Oreochromis niloticus: one gene and its partners. The protein of the gene in region 2 interacts with the protein of the main gene of each other region in a pairwise test. Links are inferred from orthologs where the notes say so. Each region holds a gene or a part of one and is shown on either strand. Other genes may lie near its edges.

The links.
Region 1: the proteins of kpna5 (region 2) and anp32b interact in binary tests that used the Homo sapiens proteins (3 or more experiments, as listed by UniProt). The two-hybrid records come from large-scale screens. The link is inferred for Oreochromis niloticus from reciprocal best matches to the Homo sapiens genes KPNA5 and ANP32B.
Region 3: the proteins of kpna5 (region 2) and nup50 interact in binary tests that used the Homo sapiens proteins (3 or more experiments, as listed by UniProt). The two-hybrid records come from large-scale screens. The link is inferred for Oreochromis niloticus from reciprocal best matches to the Homo sapiens genes KPNA5 and NUP50.

The regions. Positions count from the first base shown.
Region 1 is NC_031971.2:17,395,251-17,403,260, forward strand, and holds the start of anp32b (acidic leucine-rich nuclear phosphoprotein 32 family member B), read right to left. Parts: upstream 3,053-8,010; 5' UTR 2,468-3,052; coding exon 2,414-2,467; intron 22-2,413; coding exon 1-21. Other genes in the region: hemgn (formin-like protein 1), read left to right, coding at 4,728-4,791, 5,113-5,203, 5,595-6,142, 6,261-6,367. UniProt on the Homo sapiens protein: Multifunctional protein that is involved in the regulation of many processes including cell proliferation, apoptosis, cell cycle progression or transcription.
Region 2 is NC_031976.2:1,270,085-1,277,437, forward strand, and holds the start of kpna5 (importin subunit alpha-6), read left to right. Parts: upstream 1-4,305; 5' UTR 4,306-4,409; coding exon 4,410-4,482; intron 4,483-7,353. UniProt on the Homo sapiens protein: Functions in nuclear protein import as an adapter protein for nuclear receptor KPNB1. Binds specifically and directly to substrates containing either a simple or bipartite NLS motif.
Region 3 is NC_031981.2:22,122,204-22,129,703, forward strand, and holds the start of nup50 (nuclear pore complex protein Nup50), read right to left. Parts: upstream 3,101-7,500; 5' UTR 2,920-3,100; intron 1,297-2,919; 5' UTR 1,287-1,296; coding exon 1,218-1,286; intron 1,138-1,217; coding exon 1,054-1,137; intron 977-1,053; coding exon 778-976; intron 416-777; coding exon 1-415. UniProt on the Homo sapiens protein: Component of the nuclear pore complex that has a direct role in nuclear protein import. Actively displaces NLSs from importin-alpha, and facilitates disassembly of the importin-alpha:beta-cargo complex and importin recycling.

The DNA of each region.
Region 1 (8,010 bases), on a different chromosome or scaffold from region 2:
GTCCAGGACAAGTTCTCGTACCTGGAATTGAAAAAACAAACAAATAGTATTATTTAAAAATTACTTGTACTTTTTAATGCATTTGCAAGTACTACAACTACTTGCAAAATTTTTATACCTTAAGTGTATTTTAAAACAGACCAAATGTTAAATATTCCAAAATATATTTCGCAGATATTATAATTTTTTTTCCAAACAAAATCATTAAGAAAGGCGTTCGGGGAATATAGCAGCCCTAACGTATTAATAATCAGTGGGTGGTGGTGTTTGTAAAATGGCCCTTCACTTTGTGTAAAATGATTAAAGGCGTTTTATAGTTGCTTAAAATATTAGAAAAAACAACTCTGAAGGCGGAGTTACTTTGACTCCGTTAAAGCTCACACTGGTTGCGCAAGTCATTGTTAAACGTTACCAAAAAAGTTCTTGTCAAGCGTCAAAGACCGCCGTTTCTCGATTAAAAACACCAAAATGGATACTCAGTCTCTATCTAAAAACACTTTGCTATCACTGTGTGCTTCGTTTAACCGACCGCCACAGTTCGTCTATTGATTTCTTTGAAACGAGGAAGAGCAAAGCAGCGGCTTCCCATGGCCTGCTGATGCAGTCACTAATGACAAATGCAATGATTTTGTGAGCTAGCTCGCTACAGGCTAGCCATTGCCCCTTTTAAACGCTGCCGTGCCGTAGAGGAGCAGCTAGAGAGGTCTGTCTGCCCGCCATTAGCCAACCCAACAGCAACGGAAAGGATTGCGAATACACCCTTAGTAAAGAGATTCTTTTTTTCTTTCGTTAAACCAGCTTTCGTGGGGGAAGTGGAATATTCCTTGTCGTCGAGCGAATGACCGATATTGGCAGTTTGTTAGAGGGTACAGCATCGCTTTCAGGTCGAAGTGGCGAAGGAAATATATTGAGAACGGAAATTTAGTAAAAAACAAAGATGGAGACAGTTCCTTTCTCCCAGAGCTTCAAAGACGACAGAATGACAACATGGCGATTCCTGAGCTACAGTATGCAGTCCTCTGAACGCTTCAATGGCGGAAAGTGCTGTTAAGAATGAGCAATAAGCGTTATTTACATATAACCGAAAGTGTTTTTTCGGTGTTAAATTGATTTTATTTTGTGCATGATACGAGGGGGAACGCCGAGCGGGGAGCTTTTGGCTGCCCACGCATGAAGCGCGGTGCGCCGGATCTCCGTGTCATTCGAGCAGGCTGGCTCGATCAATGAAGCCGCTGGCCAACACATGCATCTGTGTAGTAGCAAGCGCCAAGTTTAGCAATAGTAACGATTACTGGAGCACACTGTAGTCGTGTTTGGTGTTTTTACTTTACAACTGGATAGATTTTGTTGTCTTTGACCGGTAGCGAGAAGGGGGTAATATGGCGGGAACCTAATACCAAGTTAGCTGGCTGGTAGTCTGAATGGTTCTGAAACCCCGGACCACCAGGCTTCATTCAATAAGCATGCGATTCTTCTTCGTCGTCTTTAAGACGATGCACGGATGATAAGTGATACTATAGCTTGGTGCACAACTAGAGAAGAATTAATGAGGGAATTAATTGATGTACACTCCCTTTAAAAACTTACAGATTGCAACGTGTCTTTAAACAAATCAGCACCAACAGCAGCGGTTGGCTGTTTGTTGAGTGTCTCCCGGCTCTAAGGTTTTGGAGTTGCGGTGTATTTTCACCATTAGCGGTTTAAGGTACGGATGACTCGTGAACCAAGTGTTTTTTGTTGTCGCTGCCTGAATCTTTGTGGCCGTTTGATGTAAACGTATACTCCACAGAAATGTGAACATACGACTCGTGATCTGCGACGGCCCGTTTAACGTTTACAAAACTCGTTTGTTGTTCAGCACCAGAGTTTAAAGTGATTTTGCAATTATTACACAAAAAAGCTCCCCCTTTTTTTCCTTTTTTTTAGCAGTTATGCTAGCAGCAAACATGGCTTCCAAGGTCTGTATAAAATATACCGCTCTGTGAATGCCGAACGCGGCGCAGGAAACTGCTTTCTCCTCATATCGGCGCAAAAAGAAGTTTACTAATTGTGCTACAACGGTGGAGTGTAGCTGAATCGTGTGTGCACCATTGACCAGGGAGGCTGCGAAACGGTTAAAGCACTGCAATAATGCCAGCAAGCTGGGGGGGAATCGCCGTTTCAAAGTAACGACTGAATATAGCTTTTCTCGTCTCGTTGCCCCTATACGCCCAATCCCAGCCAGCATAAAGGCTCTGGCTTGTTATGCGACTGTTTTCCGCCCCGTTATAAATGAGAAACACAATCAAAAGCCCATGTGGTCACCATTACGTTAGCCACACAGGGTCACTCGCAAAGCAAAAAAAGTAGCAAGCTAGGCTAGCAGGGGCTAGCCTGAAAACTAAGGGTTGGTTTTAAAAAAAGCACGACTCACATCAGACGGTGTCCTGTTTCTAAGCTCCAAGTGGATCCTCTTTTTCATGTCCATTTTGCCCTATGAAAGTTAAACTTTTCTCCTCGGGGTTTTGCTGGGATCTTCAGTCCAAAGGCAGAGATGCCCTAATGGAGGGAGAATATAGGACTGTATAATGAACTGAGCCAAACGCTAAGTTAGTCGGAGAGAGGGGAAACCATGGAGGGAAACGGGACTGAAACAAAATATATGCTCAACAGCGCCATCTGCGTCCAGAAACGCCCATCGCTTCTGAAAAAAAGGCATTGCAGTCACAAAACATGACGCTGCCCCGAAACGGTGCTATGGTGCAATTTATTCTATGCAAGGAAATTACTGTACTGTGTTGTTCAGTGAAGACGGCGGGGTTTTTCTTTGAGAAGTCGGTTTTATTCAGCGAAGGATGTGCACGAACAGACGCGTGTAGCGTATGCAAAACAAATAAGCAACCAAGCAATTAAACGGCGATAAAGTAGGTCACATGGTGAACTTTGTTATGCTTCATTTAAAAGTTTCACAGGAAATCTCGAATGCATTACTGCTTTATAGTCAACATATAAGCAGTGTAATTATGAGGTAACCATCATAATGTATGCCTATTTAAAAAAAAATATGTAAATATGTGTGTGTTGGGTCTTGTGAATGTGTGATACTTTTTACATTGTAATAAAAAAGAAAAATGAACAAAATTGTGTTGTTTCTTGGTTCCTAAATGGTTGATTCCTACCCCCAACCGCTAAAAAGGAGGGCTATATGTGGTTTGCCTTAAAGAGAGCATTGTATATACACATATGGACGGGTAGAGCACCCCATACAACCCCTCCTCTTTACTTCCTGACACTCTCCAGCGTTGAAGTAGAAAATCTACTGTGCTTGTAGTTTTTTTTTTCTTATGTTCTAAATTAATTAGTGAATAAGCTTTAATACTATAAATGAATAACAAATTATAGCCCGTTTTAAGTCTAGTAAATATAACAAATGTATAAATGCTAGCAAGATGTGTTTGCATAGTGTGCCGAGGGCAACCAATGCAAATACCCTAACTCTGGCCACATGCATGTTAAAGGCACAGTCCATACAGTGCATATATACACACAGACACTGTTTTTAAATCAGTGTTTGGTAGTTGAGAAGCAATGCCAGAAGATGGCACTGTAATATCTACACTGACATTCCTCACATTTCATTGTGCAACGGTGGGGCTGTGTGTGAATGACAGCCCTATCTGCTTTTGGCTGTAACAGTAATGCTGGAGGGGGTTTATTAATGTGTCAGTTGGAGTTTTATTAGCTGAGGAGTTAACTATGTGCAGTTTGGGATCTTTTGAACTGCTGGAACTCAACACTAGAGGTTTGGTTGATTGTGTTTTGTGATTTTAATTTGAGTGTGTGAAAACCTATACTTAAACATACATGTTTTCATTCAGCTTCTTAGCACTCACAGCTTCCACCGGTGCAGAATGTCTGTGTATAGATTCTCTTCATATGATGTTGAAAAGAGAGTGCATTACGAGCACCTTCATGCAGAAATCAGTACATTTAGAAAGAGGCCTTTCAACATTTCCCCCCACAGTGCTGGGAGCAATTGGCAGTTGAGTGTTATTTACTCTACTGGATAGCTCTTTTCTCCCTCTCTCTCTCTGAGTGTCTCAAACACACACACATCAGGGCTCAATGTGTTGTTAGAAGATTGTGAACACACCCCAACCGAGCAACTTGCCATCTGAGCGATAAGACGGGTATATGCCCCAACTCTGGACGAAGACAGGAATTTTGTTTGGTCTGTAGTGTGGTTTACCTACCAAAAAGGCATATTTCTTATGATTTGTGGATTAATATTATGAATATTCTACAGAAATATTTTGAGCTTTTGTGTTTTTTCTTGATATCATATTTAAAACTTAATAACTTCACATATATTGGACCCCTATTTAAGAAACTGTCCAAAAATCAGTCAAAGTCTTGCTCTTGTTAAGCTACAGCAGTGCCTTTAGATCAGCTGCTGAAGAGCTCTAGTACAACATATATATTTGTTACCCTATCATACACACACACACACACACACAGAAAACTTGCTGTTGTCTTTTTCCCCCCTGTCTGTCAGTTTTGTGCCAACTCCTCCAGCTTTACAAATATGATAAGACCAAAGCTGCAAGAACTCTCCCTGCACTGTGGTAATGGTTAACCAGATAATTCGTCTAGGGGTGGGAATAGAAAACTGTCAGAAGTTATTCTGTCGTCTTTTTTTGCGCTTGCCCGCCTTCAATGAGTTGAATTCATTCATAGCAGGACTCAGAATGGAGGACACATCGCAACAAGAGAAACAAGAGTTGGAATATAAAAATCCAAATGAAGAGGAAGGTAGGTTTTTTTTTTTTTAAAGATTAATCTCTTCTTTGGAAATCGGCTGCTCAAGCATTTCCACACCAAAAATGCTGAAGGAGCTGGTTATGTCTTTGCACACACTGCGGTGCTGGTGGTTAACTCAGAAACAGACCTTTGATCAACATTTAAGTAATATCACAAATCTGTCTGTTTTCAAAGTTTGCCAGTGTGTAGCTAGGAGAAGAAATATCTTTATATTGTCATGAGTCAAGCACATTACCCAGTCATGCAGTTTGTCTTTGAATTTCTAATGCACCATATGAACATGATTTCTGTGCACGGCTCTCTGTTTCAAAGGTGGGATCCGTCGCCGATTGCGAGACAGGGACCTTCTCAGGAAGAGAAAGGCCGAAGCAGAAGAGAAGGAAACTAACCAGTGGGTTTTTGGGTAAATTTGTAGCAAAAGCACAGACAATGTTAGCGCTGCTGCCTATGTTTACCTCTATGCTCATGGAGAAATCTACAAATTTCAGCACTTAAGTGCAGTAGAAGAAAGTGGTGGTCCTATCCAGAAAAGTTTAGTAGCCTGCGTTGAAACACTGTACAGTACAGTACATGCAGTACATGCTGAAAACACTATCAGCATTCTGGCTGCTTATCACTCCTCTGGTTTATATTGAATATGGAGCAAGAGGAAAGCAAAGGTTGCTCTGCTCTTTCTATTGACGCCACAGATCTGGGTCAAGGACTTTGTACTATTAGCTTTGCAAAACTGTCACAAAGAGCTGTATCAATGTCCACTGTTGTTGAAGTTAATTGCAACTGCGGTGCTCTCTCAGGGTGGAGAGCCAACGGAAAAGATCAAGAGCTGAGGACAAGAGCGGTGCGAAGAAGAGAGGGAGGCCCAGGAAGACTGAACCCACACCGCAGCTGTCTGCTGTTCAGGAAGAAGTCGAAGCACTTAAGGAAACTCCTGCAGTAGTGGTGGTACCCGAACCCGCTGTGGTCATTCAGGACCAAATAACCAGCTCTCTGCCTCCGCTGTTTGGGCTGGAATCACAACCAGCTTCAGTCCTTGCTGCTCCTGCTCCTGCAGCAGTGTTCGAGTCTGTGCAGAATTCAGCTCCTGCTCCAACTCTGGCTTTTGCTGCTCCAGTTCCCGTCCAAGATTCAGCTCCTGCTCCAGATGCTGTCTTAGTCCCAGCTCAGTCCCTAGACTCTGTTCCAGCTGTAACTCCTGCTCCTCCCTCAGCTCCTCCCCAAGTGGAGACCCTCTATACAGAGTCACAAAGCAAGGAGGCCCCAGGCCAGGTCCTGATTGAGGACTTAGGCCCAGATGAGGAGGAGGACGTCTCTCCATTGCAAGGCAACAAACGTGCTAATGAAGGTTTGTATGTTGTAAAAATACACAAAAACAATACTTTGAAACACTGTCTGGTTCGAAAGGTTTAATGATTATTAAATTGTCTGTCTGTCTTTTTTTTTTTTTTTTTTTTTTTTTTTAGATTTGAGTGAAACACTTTCGATCAACGTGCCTGAACAAAATAACGTGTACTCAGTTCCAACTGTCTCTGCTCAGCCTATGGCTCAGGAATATTTTCCAGGAAATTAATTGCAACATTTTTTTTTTCTGAAATGCACTGTTAAGATATTGCTTTATACATGCAAAGCCTCGTCACAGTTTGTATCTGAGTATTTTTCTTCTTCTTTTTTTGTGTAGTGTGCACACACAAGATGAGGCAAGTCATTGCTTATTTGAAAGATGTATGAATTCAAACCAAAGCTGTATGCTTATTTATTTTGGTTGTGCTTCACTGCAAAGCTTATGATCTTTTTTTTATATACTTTCAATTTAGTATGCAACCAGTTTTGCTGGCCTTTATTTAAAAGTTAAGGGTATAAATCGCTGGTAATTATGTATTCAGAATTGTGGATTTATTTTTACAGAATTTTGTAAAAGTTACTATTCGTCTAATAAAAGTCACTTCTGCATCATTTAACAGCAGTCGTTATTATAGGAGTCATCAGCTGTAAAATACATCCACACGCAAATACATGAGTGATATGAATTAGAATTAACTCTCTTTTCATTAAATGAAATAATTATGTAACCATTTTGTTCACATATGACATCTCTCCACTCTGGTGAGTGAAATTAAATGATGTTTGTTGTACAGTTTGAACAGCATATCTGTAGATTTAATCTGTGGCTTATCTGTTAAGTCACGTGTAGTGAAACATTTAGCCCTATCTGCTAGTGGCTACTGGTAGTGCTTATAATGTACTCATTTGTACTACATAAAGAGGTGGAAAAAGTACTGGTAAAAGCTGCAATAACTGATTAATTAGTGAAATGACAGAAAAAAAGGTAAAAGATGCTCTACTGGATTGAATGACTATGGAGGCCAAATTTAGTAAACGGAACTCACTGTGTTGTTGAATATACCAGGTTAAGATGATCTGAGCTTTGGGAGATTATGATATCCTGCTGGAGGTAGCCAACAGAAGATGGGTACAGTGTGGTCATAAAGGTGGACATGGTCAGGAGCAGTACTTGGGTAGGCTGTTTAGATGATGCTCAGTTGGTACCAAGGGGACCAAAGTGTATGAAAAATATCCTCCACACCATTAATCCACAAACATCCTGAATCACTGATACAAGGTAGGATGGATCCAAATTCTGGCCCTAACATCTAAATGTTGTAGAAGTAATTGAGACTCATCACACCAGGCAACATTTTCCCCGATTTTCCATAGTGCTGAATGAATGTATGTAGTGAAAAGTTTTAATATTCAACAACAGTGTTCAACAAACCAGGTTGAGGTGATCTGAGCTTTGTAACCTGGCATGATTTACTTTTGTAAATCAGCTGATTTAAGGATGCAAAAAAAATAAAAATAAAAAAAATTGACAAGTTGATTCTGTTCATCTGGATGTTGCGTTTTCAGTTGGAGAAATGTTTTGTCACTCAAAACAGTGACTTCTTCAGTCTCTGAAAACTTCTCCCACTGAAAACACTATGTCCAGATGAACAGAATGAACTTTTTCGATTTCTCTACCTGGATGATTGAGCATGCATCAAGACATTTTCACTATTGATTAACTATCGCTTTAATTTTTGCAAATTGTAGCCTCAGCCATTTGTTCTTAACTTAGATGTGGTCTTCCGATGCTGTAGCCTATCTAGTTCAAGGTTCAAGAAATGCTTTTCTGCATATCTTGTTTGTAACCAGTGGTTATTTGTTGCCTTGTTG
Region 2 (7,353 bases):
TTCAAGTTTAAGTCCAATGAATATCTTAAAATAGAACAAACAAGTGATGAACTGCCAGGTTGAAATAAAATATGTGGTAAACCAAAAGTGAAAAATAATGCACATTTCAGAATTATAAAAAAAAAGGTCTTTTTCAGGGAACACAGCATGGGTTAACAATTTAAAGCTGCTCTGCAGCAATGGAGACTCGAGACTTGAAAGTTGGTGCTACTAATTCCTGCAGGTCCAACCCCCTCTGTCTGTTGGACACACTGTGGTACCCTGATGAGCATCAGATGAACGGTACTGTACTGCAGAAAGTAGTGTGTTGGTACAGAAATGGTGAGAAAAAGGTCATTAACAATGGAAGAGAGACAGACCATCATAACACTTATAAATGTAGGTCTGTCCTACAGAGAAACTGCAAAGAAAGTCAAGGTGTCAGTGAGTACAGTTTCCTTCAGCATCCAAAGGCTCAGAAACAAACTGTGACAGGAAGGTCTGCAGACCCAAAGACACGACTGAATCAGTTACAGTGTGATAGGCGGCTCACAGGACAACAGCTTCAAGCACAGCTTGATAGTGGTCGTAGTAAGCAAGTCTCAGTTTCAGCTGTGAAGAGAAGACCCTTCACAGTCAGACCAGGAGTGACATGTTTAGCCGCATGTTCTCCTTAAATTGCTGGCTGTCTGAGTGGTGTCCCAGAAACGATGTGGGCTTCATAGATAATTGGCAAACCTTCTGGAGGAAACCTGGTCTTGTTGGGAGAGACGGCATCCATCCCACTTTGGATGGAGCAGCTCTCATTTCTAGAAATATGGACCAATTTATTAAACCCCCCAAAATATGACTATCCAGAGTTGGGACCAGGAAGCAGAGTTGCAGTCTTACACGCCTCTCTGCAGCTTCTCTCCTCCTGCTACCCCCCCAAAAACCCATCTCCATTGAGACTGTGTCAGCTCCCAAACAGAGAAAAAACAAACTAAAAACCAGCAATAAACAACTTAAACATAAAAAATCACAAAGAAAGAACAATACAGTATCCACATCTGAACCAAAGAGTAAAACAGTGAAATGTGGATTATTAAATATTAGGTCTCTCTCCTTCAAGTCTCTGTTAGTACATGACTTAATAATTGATCAACAAATCGATTTACTCTGCCTTACAGAAACCTGGTTGCAGCCGGATGATTATGTTAGTTTAAATGAATCAACACCCCGAGTCATTCTAACTACCAGAAACCTCGAAGCACAGGCCGAGGGGGCGGTGTGGCAGCAATTTTTCACACCAGCCTATTAATCAACCAAAGACCAAGACAGACTTTTAATTCATTTGAAAGCCTGATGCTTAGCCTCGTCCACCCCAGCTGTAAAACTCAGAAACCAGTCTTACTTGTTATCATCTATCGTCCACCTGGGCCTTACAGAGTTTCTGTCTGATTTCTCAGACTTTTTATCTGATTTAGTGCTCAGCTCAGATAAAATAATTATTGTGGGTGATTTTAACATCCATGTAGATGCTAAAAATGACAGCCTCAACATGGCATTTAATCTGTTATTAGACTCAATTGGCTTCTCTCAAAATGTAAAAGAACCCACCCACCACTTTAGTCACACTCTAGATCTTGTTTTAACATATGACATAGAAACTGAACATTTAACAGTGTTTCCTGAAAACCCTCTGCTGTCTGATCATTTCCTGATAACATTTACATTTACAATAATTGATTACACAGCAGTGGAGAGTAGACTTTATCACAGTAGATGTCTTTCTGAAAGTGCTGTAACTAAGTTTAAGAATATAATCCACCCACTGTTATCATCTTCAATGCCCTGTACCAACATAGAGCAGAGCAGCTACCTGAACGCTACTCCAACAGAGGTCGATTATCTTGTTAATAATTTTACCTCCTCACTACGTACGACTCTGGATACTGTAGCTCCTGTGAAAACTAAGGCCTCAAATCAGAAGTACCTGACTGCGTGGTATAATTCTCAAACACGTAGCCTAAAGCAGATAACTCGTAAGCTGGAGAGGAAATGGCATGTCACAAATTTAGAGGATCATCATTTAGCCTGGAGAAATAGTTTGCTGCTTTATAAGAAAGCCCTCCGCAAAGCCAGAACATCTTACTATTCGTCACTGATTGAAGAAAATAAGAACAACCCCAGGTTTCTCTTCAGCACTGTAGCCAGGCTGACAAACAGTCAGAGCTCTACTGAGCCAACCATCCCTTTAACGTTAACTAGTAATGACTTCATGAACTTCTTCACAAATAAAATTCTTATCATTAGAGAAAAAATTACCAATAATCATCCCACAGATGTAATATTATCTACAGCTACTTTCAGTACCATCGATGTTAAGTTAGACTCTTTTTCTCCAATTGATCTTTCTGAGTTAGCTTCAATAATTAATTCCTCCAAACCATCAACGTGTCTTTTAGACCCCATTCCTACAAAACTGCTCAAAGAAGTCCTGCCATTAATTAATGCTTCGATCTTAAATATGATCAACCTATCTCTAATAATCGGCTATGTACCACAGGCCTTCAAGGTGGCTGTAGTTAAACCTTTACTCAAAAAGCATCTCTAGACCCAGCAGTCTTAGCTAATTATAGGCCAATCTCCAACCTTCCTTTCATATCAAACATCCTTGAAAGAGTAGTTGTCAAACAGCTAACAGATCATCTGCAGAGGAATGGCTTATTTGAAGAGTTTCAGTCAGGTTTCAGAGCTCAGCACAGCACAGAAACAGCTTTAGTGAAGGTTACAAATGATCTTCTTATGGCCTCTGACAGTGGACTCATCTCTGTGCTTGTCCTGCTAGACCTCAGTGCAGCATTCGATACTGTCGACCATAATATCCTATTAGAGCGATTAGAACATGCTGTAGGTATTACAGGTACTGCACTGCAGTGGTTTGTATCATATCTATCTAATAGACTCCAATTTGTGCATGTAAATGGAGAGTCCTCTTCACACACTAAGGTCAATTATGGTGTTCCACAGGGTTCAGTGCTAGGACCAATTCTGTTTACATTATACATGCTTCCCTTAGGCAGCATCATTAGAAGACATAGCATAAATTTTCACTGCTATGCAGACGACACCCAGCTCTATCTGTCCATGAAGCCAGGTAACACACACCAATTAGTTAAACTGCAGGAATGTCTTAAAGACATAAAGACCTGGATGGCCGCTAACTTTCTGCTTCTTAATTCAGATCAAACTGAGGTTATTGTACTCGGCCCTGAAAATCTTAGAAATATGGTATCTAAGCAGATTCTTACTCTGGATGGCATTACCTTGGCCTCCAGTAACACTGTGAGAAACCTTGGAGTCATTTTTGACCAGGACATGTCCTTCAATGCACATATTAAACAAATATGTAAGACTGCTTTCTTCCATTTGCGCAACATCTCTAAAATTAGAAACATCCTGTCTCAGAGTGACGCTGAAAAACTAGTTCATGCATTTATTACTTCCAGGCTGGACTACTGTAATTCTTTATTATCAGGATGTCCTAAAAACTCACTGAAAAGTCTTCAGCTGATCCAAAATGCTGCAGCAAGAGTCCTGACAGGGACTAGAAAGAGAGAGCAGATTTCTCCTGTATTGGCTTCCCTTCATTGGCTTCCTGTTAAATCCAGAATTGAATTCAAAATCCTGCTCCTCACATACAAGGTCTTAAATAATCAGGCCCCATCTTATCTTAATGACCTTGTAGTACCATATCACCCTATTAGAGCACTTCGCTCTCGCTCTGCAGGCCTACTTGTTGTTCCTAGAGTATTTAAAAGTAGAATGGGAGGCAGAGCCTTCAGTTTTCAGGCCCCTCTTCTGTGGAACCAGCTTCCAGTTTGGATTCGGGAGACAGACACTATCTCTACTTTCAAGATTAGGCTTCAAACTTTCCTTTTTGCTAAAGCATATAGTTAGGGCTGGACCAGGTGACCCTGAATCCTCCCTTAGTTATGCTGCAATAGACGTAGGCTGCCGGGGATTCCCATGATGCATTGAGTTTTACCTGTCCAGTCACCTTTCTCACTCACTATGTGTTAACAGACCTCTCTGCATTGAATATCTGTTATTAATCTCTGTCTCTCTTCCACAGCATGTCTTTATCCTGTCTTCCTGCTCTCACCCCAACCGGTCGCAGCAGATGGCCCCGCCCCTCCCTGAGCCTGGTTCTGCCGGAGGTTTCTTCCTGTTAAAAGGGAGTTTTTCCTTCTCACTGTCGCCAAAGTGCTTGCTCATAGGGGGTCATATGATTGTTGGGTTTTTCTCTGCACCTGTGAAGCGCCTTGAGGCGACTTTTGTTGTGATTTGGCGCTATATAAATAAAATTGAATTGAATTGAATTGAATTGAATTGAATTGAACTTCCTGCTGTAGGTTTGACAGGACGAGCTGCAGCAAGAAAGCCAGATGTCAGAATCAGACAAAGAGGCTTGGCTGGCCCATGAAACACCACCATTGGACTACTGCAGACTGGAAGAAGGTATTATGGACTGATGGATCAGAATCTGGAATCTTTGGTTGTTAAGTGTTAGCAAATACAGAATGATTATCTGGTTGAAGGTAACTTCAGAGAGGTGATCAGTGAGCAGCAACATGGTTTCACTACATACGTGATGTTTCCTTTGATAGTGTTGATGAAGACAGAAGGTGTTACACTGTCTCTTTAGACAAGAACTGTGCTACTGTATGACGACTGGTTCCTATATAGTACATTTCTGGTGTACTTGACCCCAAGTACTTTATTCAGGGAGCTCTTTGGGTGTAGACATCTATTAAAGACTGTACAGAGAAAACCATGTTGGCATCATCAGCTGATGGATGGTGACGAGATGAGGTGATAGTCCTGCTTATACTAAAGTTAAAGACAAAAAGTCAAAATGATTCATCATCCATGATGTCACATAGACAGTAACTCAGATCTGCACAGCTTCTGTTTTAAACACTGTAGTCAGCTGCAGAAAGAGAACATGAGATTTTCTCTGACAGCATTCAATACAACCTGATGTAAGGTCAAAGGTCGTCACCTGATGAAATAAAAACTTCAACAAGGAATTCTTTCACACTGGGTCTTGCCAATAGTGTGTTATTTACCATAAAGTAATTCAGAGTCAGTCATATCTGAGTAATGACAATGTAATATATTGTGGAGGTAAGCATTACGACACCAGGTTCCCGTGCGCGCCGAAGACGTCCCTAAGACCGCTGTCATTACCCCCTTCGGCTTGTTCGAGTTTTTGCGCATGCCGTTTGGCCTGAAAGGTGCCGCCCAGACCTTTCAGCGGCTGATGGACTCAGTTTTGCGTGGGCTGCCGTTCGTTTTTGTTTATCTGGACGATATATTGGTGGCCAGCTGCTCAGCGAGCCAGCACGAGTCCCATCTGCGCCAGGTTTTCCAGCGTTTGGCAGCGCACGGCCTGATCATCAACCCTTCCAAGTGCCAGTTTGGGTTGCCTGTTCTGGATTTCCTCGGGCACCGCATTTCCGCTGAAGGTGTGGTTCCGTTGCCCGACAGAGTCCAGGCCGTTTCAGCTTTTCCACGCCCCACGTCGGTTAAAGCGTTGCAGGAGTTCTTGGGGATGATAAATTTTTACAACCGCTTTCTCCCCAGAGCTGCCCACCTGCTGCAGCCACTCTATGCTGCCTTAAAAGGTAAAACAGCCAAAGATCCGGTTGACTGGCTGCCGGAACGCATCCATGCGTTTTCCGCAGCCAAGTCTGCGCTGGCTGACGCCGCCCTGCTGGCACACCCGCTCCCGTCGGCGGAGATCGCGTTGACCACCGACGCGTCCGACGTGGCAGTGGGTGGGGTGTTGGAACAGCGGGTTTCAGGTCTCTGGCAACCGCTCGCCTTTTTCAGTCGTACGCTCCGGGATGCCGAACGCAAGTACAGTGTTTTTGACAGGGAGTTGCTAGCCCTGCACCTCGCGACACGGCATTTTCGTTTTTTCCTCGAGGGTCGCAACTTTACTGCGTACGTTGACCACAAACCTTTGACGTTTGCGATGTCCAAGGTCTCTGACCCATGGAGCGCACGCCAGCAGCGCCAGTTGGCGGCCATTTCGGAGTTTACCACAGACATTCAGCACGTGGCTGGTAAGTCCAATCACGTCGCTGACTGTCTGTCACGTGTGTTGGTTTCTCCAGTGTATGTCGGCGTCGACTACGCTGCCATGGCCGCCGAGCAGCATGCTGACCCGGACATCCTGGCGCTTCAGTCAATGAAAACGGGCCTCGTGCTGGAGGACACCCCGGTGTGGGACGGCGGTCCGCGCCTTCTTTGCGACGTTTCTACCGGCCGCCCCCGCCCGGTGGTTCCCCTTTCGTGGCGTCGTCGTGTTTTTGACTCGGTGCATGCCCTCTCTCATCCCGGCGTCCGGGCCTCGGTCAAGCTGGTCAGCGCCAGGTTCGTTTGGCCGGGCCTTCGCAAGACGGTGAAAGAATGGGCGGCGGTTTGTGTCCCATGCCAACGCTCAAAAATCCACCGGCACACGCAGGCACCCCTCGAACCTTTCCGTATCCCCGGTCGGCGTTTCGATCACGTCGGGGTCACCAATGTGGAGGTAAGCATTACGACACAGAGCTCTCAGTTCACACTCCTTCTTTATTTGTCTCCAACATCAACTGGACATATCGCGCCACAAAACAGAAGAACACACTTCCTCAACACTGGGTGTGAGTGGAGCCCTCTAGTGGTCCACCACAATATATAGATTTTTACTGTATAGCGTTCTACAGGACTGAAGGAGGTGCTGGTAAAGACTACGAGTCCTGCTTGATCCCTGCACTGAGATCTGGCACAGGACAGCTGTGATGAAAGACCTCTGCACCCAGGAGACACAGTTTGGTCCTGATGGTCTCCTCATTAGGTCTTTTCCAGGCTGAATGTTGACGATCATAATATCATCATATATATTTAATCTCTCTAATATTCTGGGTATTTATATTTGAGGTATTTCTTCTATTTTGTAACTTTGTTACATAATGTATAATTTGATTTAGTTCAGTCTGCTCCTGTTGTCTTGGCGCAGCTGTAACCACATCATTTCCTTAGGGATTAATAAAGTATACTGATTCTAATGTGGAATTTGGATCCTGTTATCAAATGCAAAAGAACAAATTACACTTGTATGAAACCTGCTGCTGCTGTGTTTTTAGATCTAACGAGCTGTAGAGTGCTCATGGATCTAAAACTGTTTAAATCTTCAGGTTTATATCATCCTCAGTCTTGTTTCAAGGACAACATTTAATTTCCAGGCAATTCTTTCACAGTACTCTGTGGAGTGTGCAGCTGATGTCATCTCTGGGGAGAGTGCTGAGAGTGCTGAAGCATTCAAACATAGAGACTATTAGA
Region 3 (7,500 bases), on a different chromosome or scaffold from region 2:
GAGTCGTCTGTTGTGTTTTTGGTGAAGGAGAACAAGGCAGCAGGAGTGGAGGCCGCCGAGCTGCTGCCGGAGGAAGATGAAGGAGGAGGAAGAACTGCGGCTGTGGCTGGCAGTGTCCCTCCATGCTTCTTCTCCTCAGAGCCTCCGTCAGCTGATCCGCCGCCATACTGGCGCTCAATGCTGGCCAGGTGGCGCTCGTAGTCCCTGAAGATAGGGTTGAGGTCGCACAGCGGGTTGTCGTTCACGTGTTTGGTGATCCAGTCCCGCACTGAGCAGTTGAGCGCCGTGAGCTGCCGGCTGTACTCTTTATTGCTGCTGCTGGAGCTCTGACTCGCACTGGGGGCGGAGCCATTGGTCTGCTTGGTGGCAATATCAGCGGCGGGTTTAGCCGAGGATGGCCCGTTAAAGGTCAGACCTTCGAGGAAGGAGAAAATGTTAGTGATGGGAGAAAAAGCTCAGCTTAGAAAGAAAGAAGCAGAATAAGAGCTGGAAAATTTGATGTTTTTTTTAATCGATCATAAAGATGAATTGCTGTGAGCATCCTGAACACATTTTACACTCATAAGAGATCAATAAAATCATCATGTCCATCTCTTAGCATTTTTAAAGCTCCTATAAACTAATGAAGACATTTTAACACACAGACACAAAAAAACCTCATTTATGGATCACATTCGAAGGACGAAGAGGATCTCTGAGCTGAAAGTTTTGAATGGCAAATAAAGAGGAAATAGTTTCCGATCAATAACCGATCAAGCTGATCGATGTTTTGCTCACCAGGTGCAGACGAGGACGCTGCAGGTGAGGAGAAACCTCCGAAGGAGGGCGTGACGCTGTTCCCATTCGTCAAACCGCCGAGGCCTTTGAAGCTTCCGCCATTCCCAAACCCGGAGAAGGGAGTTGGAGCTGAGCTGCTGCTTGCCGCCGCGGTCAAAGAGAAGCCTTTAAAGCCTTTAAATGCTCCACTGCCCTCGCTCTGAAACAGGGAAACACTCAGATTACTTCATGATTATAATCAGACGCAACAGGTAAACAATGGTTTTCTCCTCGTACCTCGGTTCCAGTGTTTCTGCGTTTGGCCTTCTTGATTGCTCGATTCTTAAGCACATCTTCACTCGCCACTGAAAACGTCCCGGCCTGAAGGAGGACAAGAAAGTCAGACTCACATAATTCCAACTTCCTGAAGCCAGACTTACAGCTTCAGCATGGCCTCTTACCTCCTCGCCCTCCTCCTCCTGATCCCAGTTCCTGTCCGTGAGCTCCTTATCAGCGATCCTCTTCGCCATCCCACCGGCTCTGTAACAAAACATAAGAATTCAGTTTGTGTTCTCTTTTATTTTTTTTCAGGGTTTAGTGTGTCTTAATCAGCATTTTACAGAATTGGACTGAATAAGGAGTAGAAAAGTTTCAGTCTAGAAGCAAAAACTAGGACTGTAATAAAAACATGTTTACAAAACGGTTTATCATATGCAAAGTAAAGTATTCTGCAAAGAGTAATTAGCACAATTACTCAAAATTTTAGGGACAGTTTGTTACCATTACTATTTAATCTAATCCATTACTATTTAATCTAAACTATTTTAGTTGATTTTTCTTGTTAATATCACTACTGTTACGATTTTTCTGCTCATCTTCTTGATCTGGCTCAATGCTCCAGAATACAAATCTGTGGAAGAATCTGGAATGCTGCAAATAACTAACTAAAATAAAACCAAACTTCCTGGATGATGTTTAAGTCATGACTCAGTAATTAATGTTAACTTTAGCAGACCTGTGGACTAGATTCATATAATATATGCAGCTCATTGAAAATGTTTATTGATTTACTTAACTGGAACTGAAAAAGGTTTAAAAAAAACAAACAAACAAACAAACAAAGATGAGACATGAATAAAGGAAAATGGACACAGTTCCTTGTTTCTAACACTTCAGCTCTTTGCGTGTTAGAACTTCACTGCTGTCCACAGCTGTTGGACCATAACAGCACAAACAAGCACCTGACCTTCGTACAACGCTCACACCTGACAGCAGTCACTGTCTGCAGGTAGTCGGCTGTCCAAAGCTGCCCACAGACTGAACCTTAACTTACTGAACCTGAGCTTTTATCTCACCTACTTTCAGTATTACTTCACCTGAACACACCACTCTGCTTTTTCTCCAATAAAACACCTGATATTCAGATGAACAGGCAACGGGTAAACAACAGGTGTAAATCTGAGCTTTGGACGGCTAGTCAGGCTGAACATTTAAAAGGTTTCACCTCAAAATATGTGAAAAAATAACTTGAACATTTTACTGAAAGAAAGTAGTGCGTCAAATGATAAAAAGTTCCAAATTCTTTACAGCTTTTCGCCAAAAACACGGCTTCATTTGGTGTTTAGTTATTAATGGAGGCCGGTAATCACCGATTAATCGACTATAAACAGCTGTGGTGGAGCTGCTGTTCGAATATTCTGGATGGTGTAAAGGTTGAAACATGCCTGTGAATTCCTAGTGCGGTCTAAGGAAAGCTGATGTTTAACTAAATCAAATGCACAGGGTTGAGCACTCCTGTCAGGCAGCCTTTATCCGGGTTAACCATCAACTAGCCTGATTCGGTTAGCGCTTCTTTCCGGGTATAATCAATCACCTGTGTACCTGAGCCGAGAGATTTTCTAACTAACGTTTTACTCAGATTTCCGATTACTGAAAAACTGACTCCTGATAAACTGGCCTACCATTACCGGAGCACACACCGAGGCCAGTTGGCCTCTCCACTCCGGTGTCTAACATCATGTTTTGGCTGTTAGCCGCGGAACTAAACAAGCAAGCTAACCGGGCCGCTCACAAGCAGCTAATGTTAGCCAGCAGGCTAATGGCACGAGCTCCTCCCGTTTCCGGCGTTTAATGACTTTTTGTTAACAGGTAAATGTGACGCACCTTGTCTGTAACGCAAAGTCCGGTCTCTGCCTCCGCGCGCCTCTGACAGCTCCAGGTAACGTCTGGCTGAACACCTTAACAGGTAACACCGCTCTGTGTATTTGAACAAACCTTTTTACACCGCCATTTTACAGAGCGGTATATTCGCATGGGTTTGCGCGGCCCACTTTTCACGCATGCGCACCACAAAGCGGCCTTTAGTCTGGGAGTTGTAGTCCATATATTTTTTAAAACGACAATAAGAGGTTAAAAAACACAAAGATAAATGCATACTACGCACATAAATCATATTAAATATTGATTATGTCACCGGTGATTATTTAACTTTACATGCAGGGTGAAGGGTCTTGCTTAATGAGCAACAGCTTAATGGTCACAAGGCCTGGTGACTTTCAATCTGTGGCCCAGTGGCCACTCTCTGCACCACCACTGCTCCGAAGGGGCAGCTCTGCACAGGTAAAACATGCAGGTGTATACCTCCACAGCTCTGCAGCTTGTTTCAGGATAAAAGCTGTCATTCGTAAGTTTGACCAAGAAATCCTCCATCATCCTGAAATAACTTCATTATTAAACATGTTTATTTTTCAGAAATAAACTAGACTCTGGCCAGCAGCACTTGTGATATTATTAGAATTAGAAAAAATTAGAATAAAATTTTTTGAATAATCCATGTTATCTACACTCCAAGCTAATTCAATAAGTCCAAATCCAGGAAAAATCATAAAGCAAGTGAAAATAGGGGTGTCTGTAGCTCAAGAGTTAGAAAGGGGTCACCTGTTGATTGGAAGGTTGGTGGGTCAATCTCTGGGTGCTCCGGCTTGCATGCCAATTATCCTTGGGTAAGATACTGACCACAAATTGCTCTCCGATGCATCTTTGACAACGTGAATGTCAGAGAGCATTTATAAATAGAAAAAAAGTGCTTGTATAAATGGATGTGAATGAGGTATGTTGTATAAAGCACTTTCAGTACTCAGAGTAGATAATTGCTTTACAAGAACCAGTTCATTTACTAGACAAAATCATTAAACTATGTAGCAATTATGGGAGTTTTTTTTTTTAGCTAATATTTGATTAATTACTTTTTTAATGTACCGGTAGTTGCTTAAGGACCCATGACTTCCCTGCTATGCCACCACTGCTGTACAGGGATGGAGGATTGATCCTGTACCCGAGGAGCTCAGGCACCTCATAGGATGCAGCTTGCCAGCATCCAGGCAGCTGCAGGATTTGTGAAAACTGGCAACATAATGATAAGAATTAACACCTCGAAATTTGAATTTTTTTTCCTCTAAACTGACTAAAAGCGGTAGAAGGGATGAGGAGTGAGATGAAGAGCCTAGAGGATCAGATCATTGCTATTTGTAGGATGGAAAAGTTAATTGGTGTTAAATATTCTGTAGAAGACACCAGGGTCATCCCTAGTGTTTGGTGCCATTTTAAGTGTATGTAGTGTAAATAAATGGGCTAATACTCGTTTCTAAAAAGTTGTCTTGCAGAATTAACCCAATCTACTTAGAAAACAAATGTCTCCAAGATTATTTTATAATAATCACAGACTTTAAGCATGAATAGCTTCAGTTTAAACAAAAAGACAAAAAGATTTATCATGTTCCTACAATACAATTTCACATAAGTCAAAAAATGAGCTGCAAAAAGTATCACAGTGGCTGATAGAATGACAGACAGAGTTAGCGCCATAGTTAATTTCAATTGATTAGAGCATTGATTAACTTGAAACAGACTTTCAGCCTAAACTCAGCAGCAGCAGAGCAGTCCAGGTACTCCATCAGATCCAGAGGGACGCACAGGGATGATGCTGGACTCCGCATTGTGTCTGACAGTGGAGCTGTTCCCAGATCAGTTCACTCTGCAGCACTAACAGTCATCTGCACTTCTCATTCCTCTGTTAGTCACTGCCGGATGAACCGCTCCTCTACACCGCCCAGTAACATGGTCCATTCAGAACGTCTCTACACACAAGCTGCTGCTGCTGCTTTACCTCTGACTCAGCAGGACACAGCTCATCCTCTCTCAGCACACACACACCACCCAGTTTACCATCACCTCCACCTGCAGACAGAAGAACAAATTGATGGAATAAGTCAGTGTTTACAGAGACTCATCAGCTGACAGTTAGTTACTGCAACAAACACATCTGTTTTGAAGGAAGGCTCAGAGGAGGTTTGAGATTGTTACCATCATGGGTTCATTTGATCAGAATGAGAATGAACAGTCATCAATCACAGGTTTTTCCTTTTATTTGAATAATCAGTAGGGAAAGACAGATGAACTGCTAACTCTGAAAGGAAATAAAGTGTGATTTAAGTCCCTCAGTAACTTAAAATAGTACATGAACTCAGGAGACTCAACAGAAACTCACCTCAGCTGCCACGCCATGTGGGAGTGAAGAAAGTGAGGTGTAGGTGAGTGCAGTCCTTATATAACGGGTGACAGGTGAGCGCAATTAAGGGGAAGCACCGCACCCAATCAAAGGTGAGGAAAAGAAACAAGGTGAATCTGGTGAAGTGAGTGTGCTGAAAGGAGATCTTCATAACCACATCAGCAATGTCTTGATGCATGCTCAATCATCCAGGTCAGTAAATCAAAAAAGTTGATTCTGTTCATCTGGACGTAGCGTTTTCAGTGGGAGAAACGTTTCGTCACTCGTCCAAGTGACTTCTTCAGTCTCATCTGACTGCAGGTTTCTCCAACCTTATAAACAGTACATTCGCACAATGATGGAACAATTGACCTCACAGCCGTTGTTCTATCAGTGGGCTAGTTTCAAGTCATTGTGCAAATGAAAAATCATGGCCTTGCCTACTATTTCTATGCAGATGACACCCACATTTACATGCCCATAAATGAAATGATGTCAGCTCCCCTAAATCTCTACTGAAGAATCTGAAGGATGGATGGCTTAAAACTCTTTTAATTTAAATTAAAGTAAGACTGGGGTCATTGTGCTCAGACTCAGTGGTGTGTGTGCTGCTTCTCTTTTGGACCTGGGCCCTCTGCAGCTGTATGTTAAAGCACAGTGACAAACCTTAGTGGTCACTGGAAGTTTAACATGGCACATCATATCAAAGAATCGATCTTCTCTGAGGATTTGAAAAAAGAATTGTTACACTACATAAAGATGGTCTATGCTATAAGAATGTTGCCAACACCGTGAACCTGAGCTGCAGCACGGTGGTGATGGTCGACCAAAGAAGTTGAGTGCACATGCTCAGCGTCATATCCAGAGGTTGTCTTTTGAAAATGGATGTATGAGTGCTGCCAGCATTATTGCAGAGGTTGGAGGCGTGGAGGGTCAGCCTGTCAGTGCTCAGACCAAATGCTACACACTGCATCACATGGCTGTCATCCCAGAAGGAAGCCTCTTCTAAAGACAATGCACAAGAAAGCAAGAAAGCCCACAAACAGTTTGCTGAAGACAAGCAGACTGATGACATGGATTACCTTTGGTCTGATGAGGCCAAGATAAACTTATTTGGTTCAGATGGTGTCAAGGGTGTGTGGTGGAAACCAGGTGAGGAGTTCAAAGAGAGTGTGTCTTGCCTAGAGTCAAGCATGGTGGTGTGATGTCATTTTTTGGGGCTGCATCAGTGCTGCTAGCACTGAGAAGCTACAATTAATTGAGGGAACTATGAATGTCAGCATGTACTGTGACATGCTGAAGCAGAGCATGATCCTCTCCCTTCAGAAACTGGGCCATGGGACAGTATTCCAACATGATGATAACCTCAAACACAGCTCCAAAAAGACCAGTGCCTTGCTAAATAAACTGAGGGTAAAGGTACTTGACTGGCCAAGCATGTCTCCAGACTTAAACCCTATTGAGCATCTGTGGGGCATGTTCAAATGGAAGGTGGAGGAGCGCAAGGTCTCTAACATCCATCAGCTCTGTGATGTCATCATGGAGGAGTGGAAGAGGATTGCTGCGGCAACCTGTGAAGATGTAGTGAACTCCAGTGGTTGCCACACAAAATATTGACACTTTGGCCACAGTTTGGACATTTTCACTTAGGGGTGTACTTACATTTGTTGCTAGCAGTTTAGTCATTAATGGCTGTGTGTTGAGTTATTTTGAGGTGACAGCAAATTTACACTGTTATACAAGCTGTACACTGACTACTTTACATTGTATCAAAGTGTCATATCTTCAGTGTCGTCCCATGAAAATAAAGTATTTACAAAAATAGAGATACTGTATATGTGAGCTGCTGACTCCATATGTTCCTTCAGTGTCGCTGAGGTCCATTGACCAGTTGCTCCTGGCAGTCCCAAAAACCTGGCTGAAAAACCAGGGACAATCAAGCTTTTTCAGTTATCACCCCCAAATTTGTGGAATGATATCTCGTCCCATGTTAAGGTGACCTCCATGTTGCCTTAAAAAAACATAAAGTAAAATAAATAATAACAATTGTAATATTGTTGTTGTTTCATTGATTTGTTGCATGGGGTTCGGGTGCACTGTACAGCAACAGTATTTTTTAAAAAGTGTTCTATAAATAAAATTAGATTTGATATTACCTAGCATAACTGAAAAATCTTCATAAATAACAAAGAGCTCAG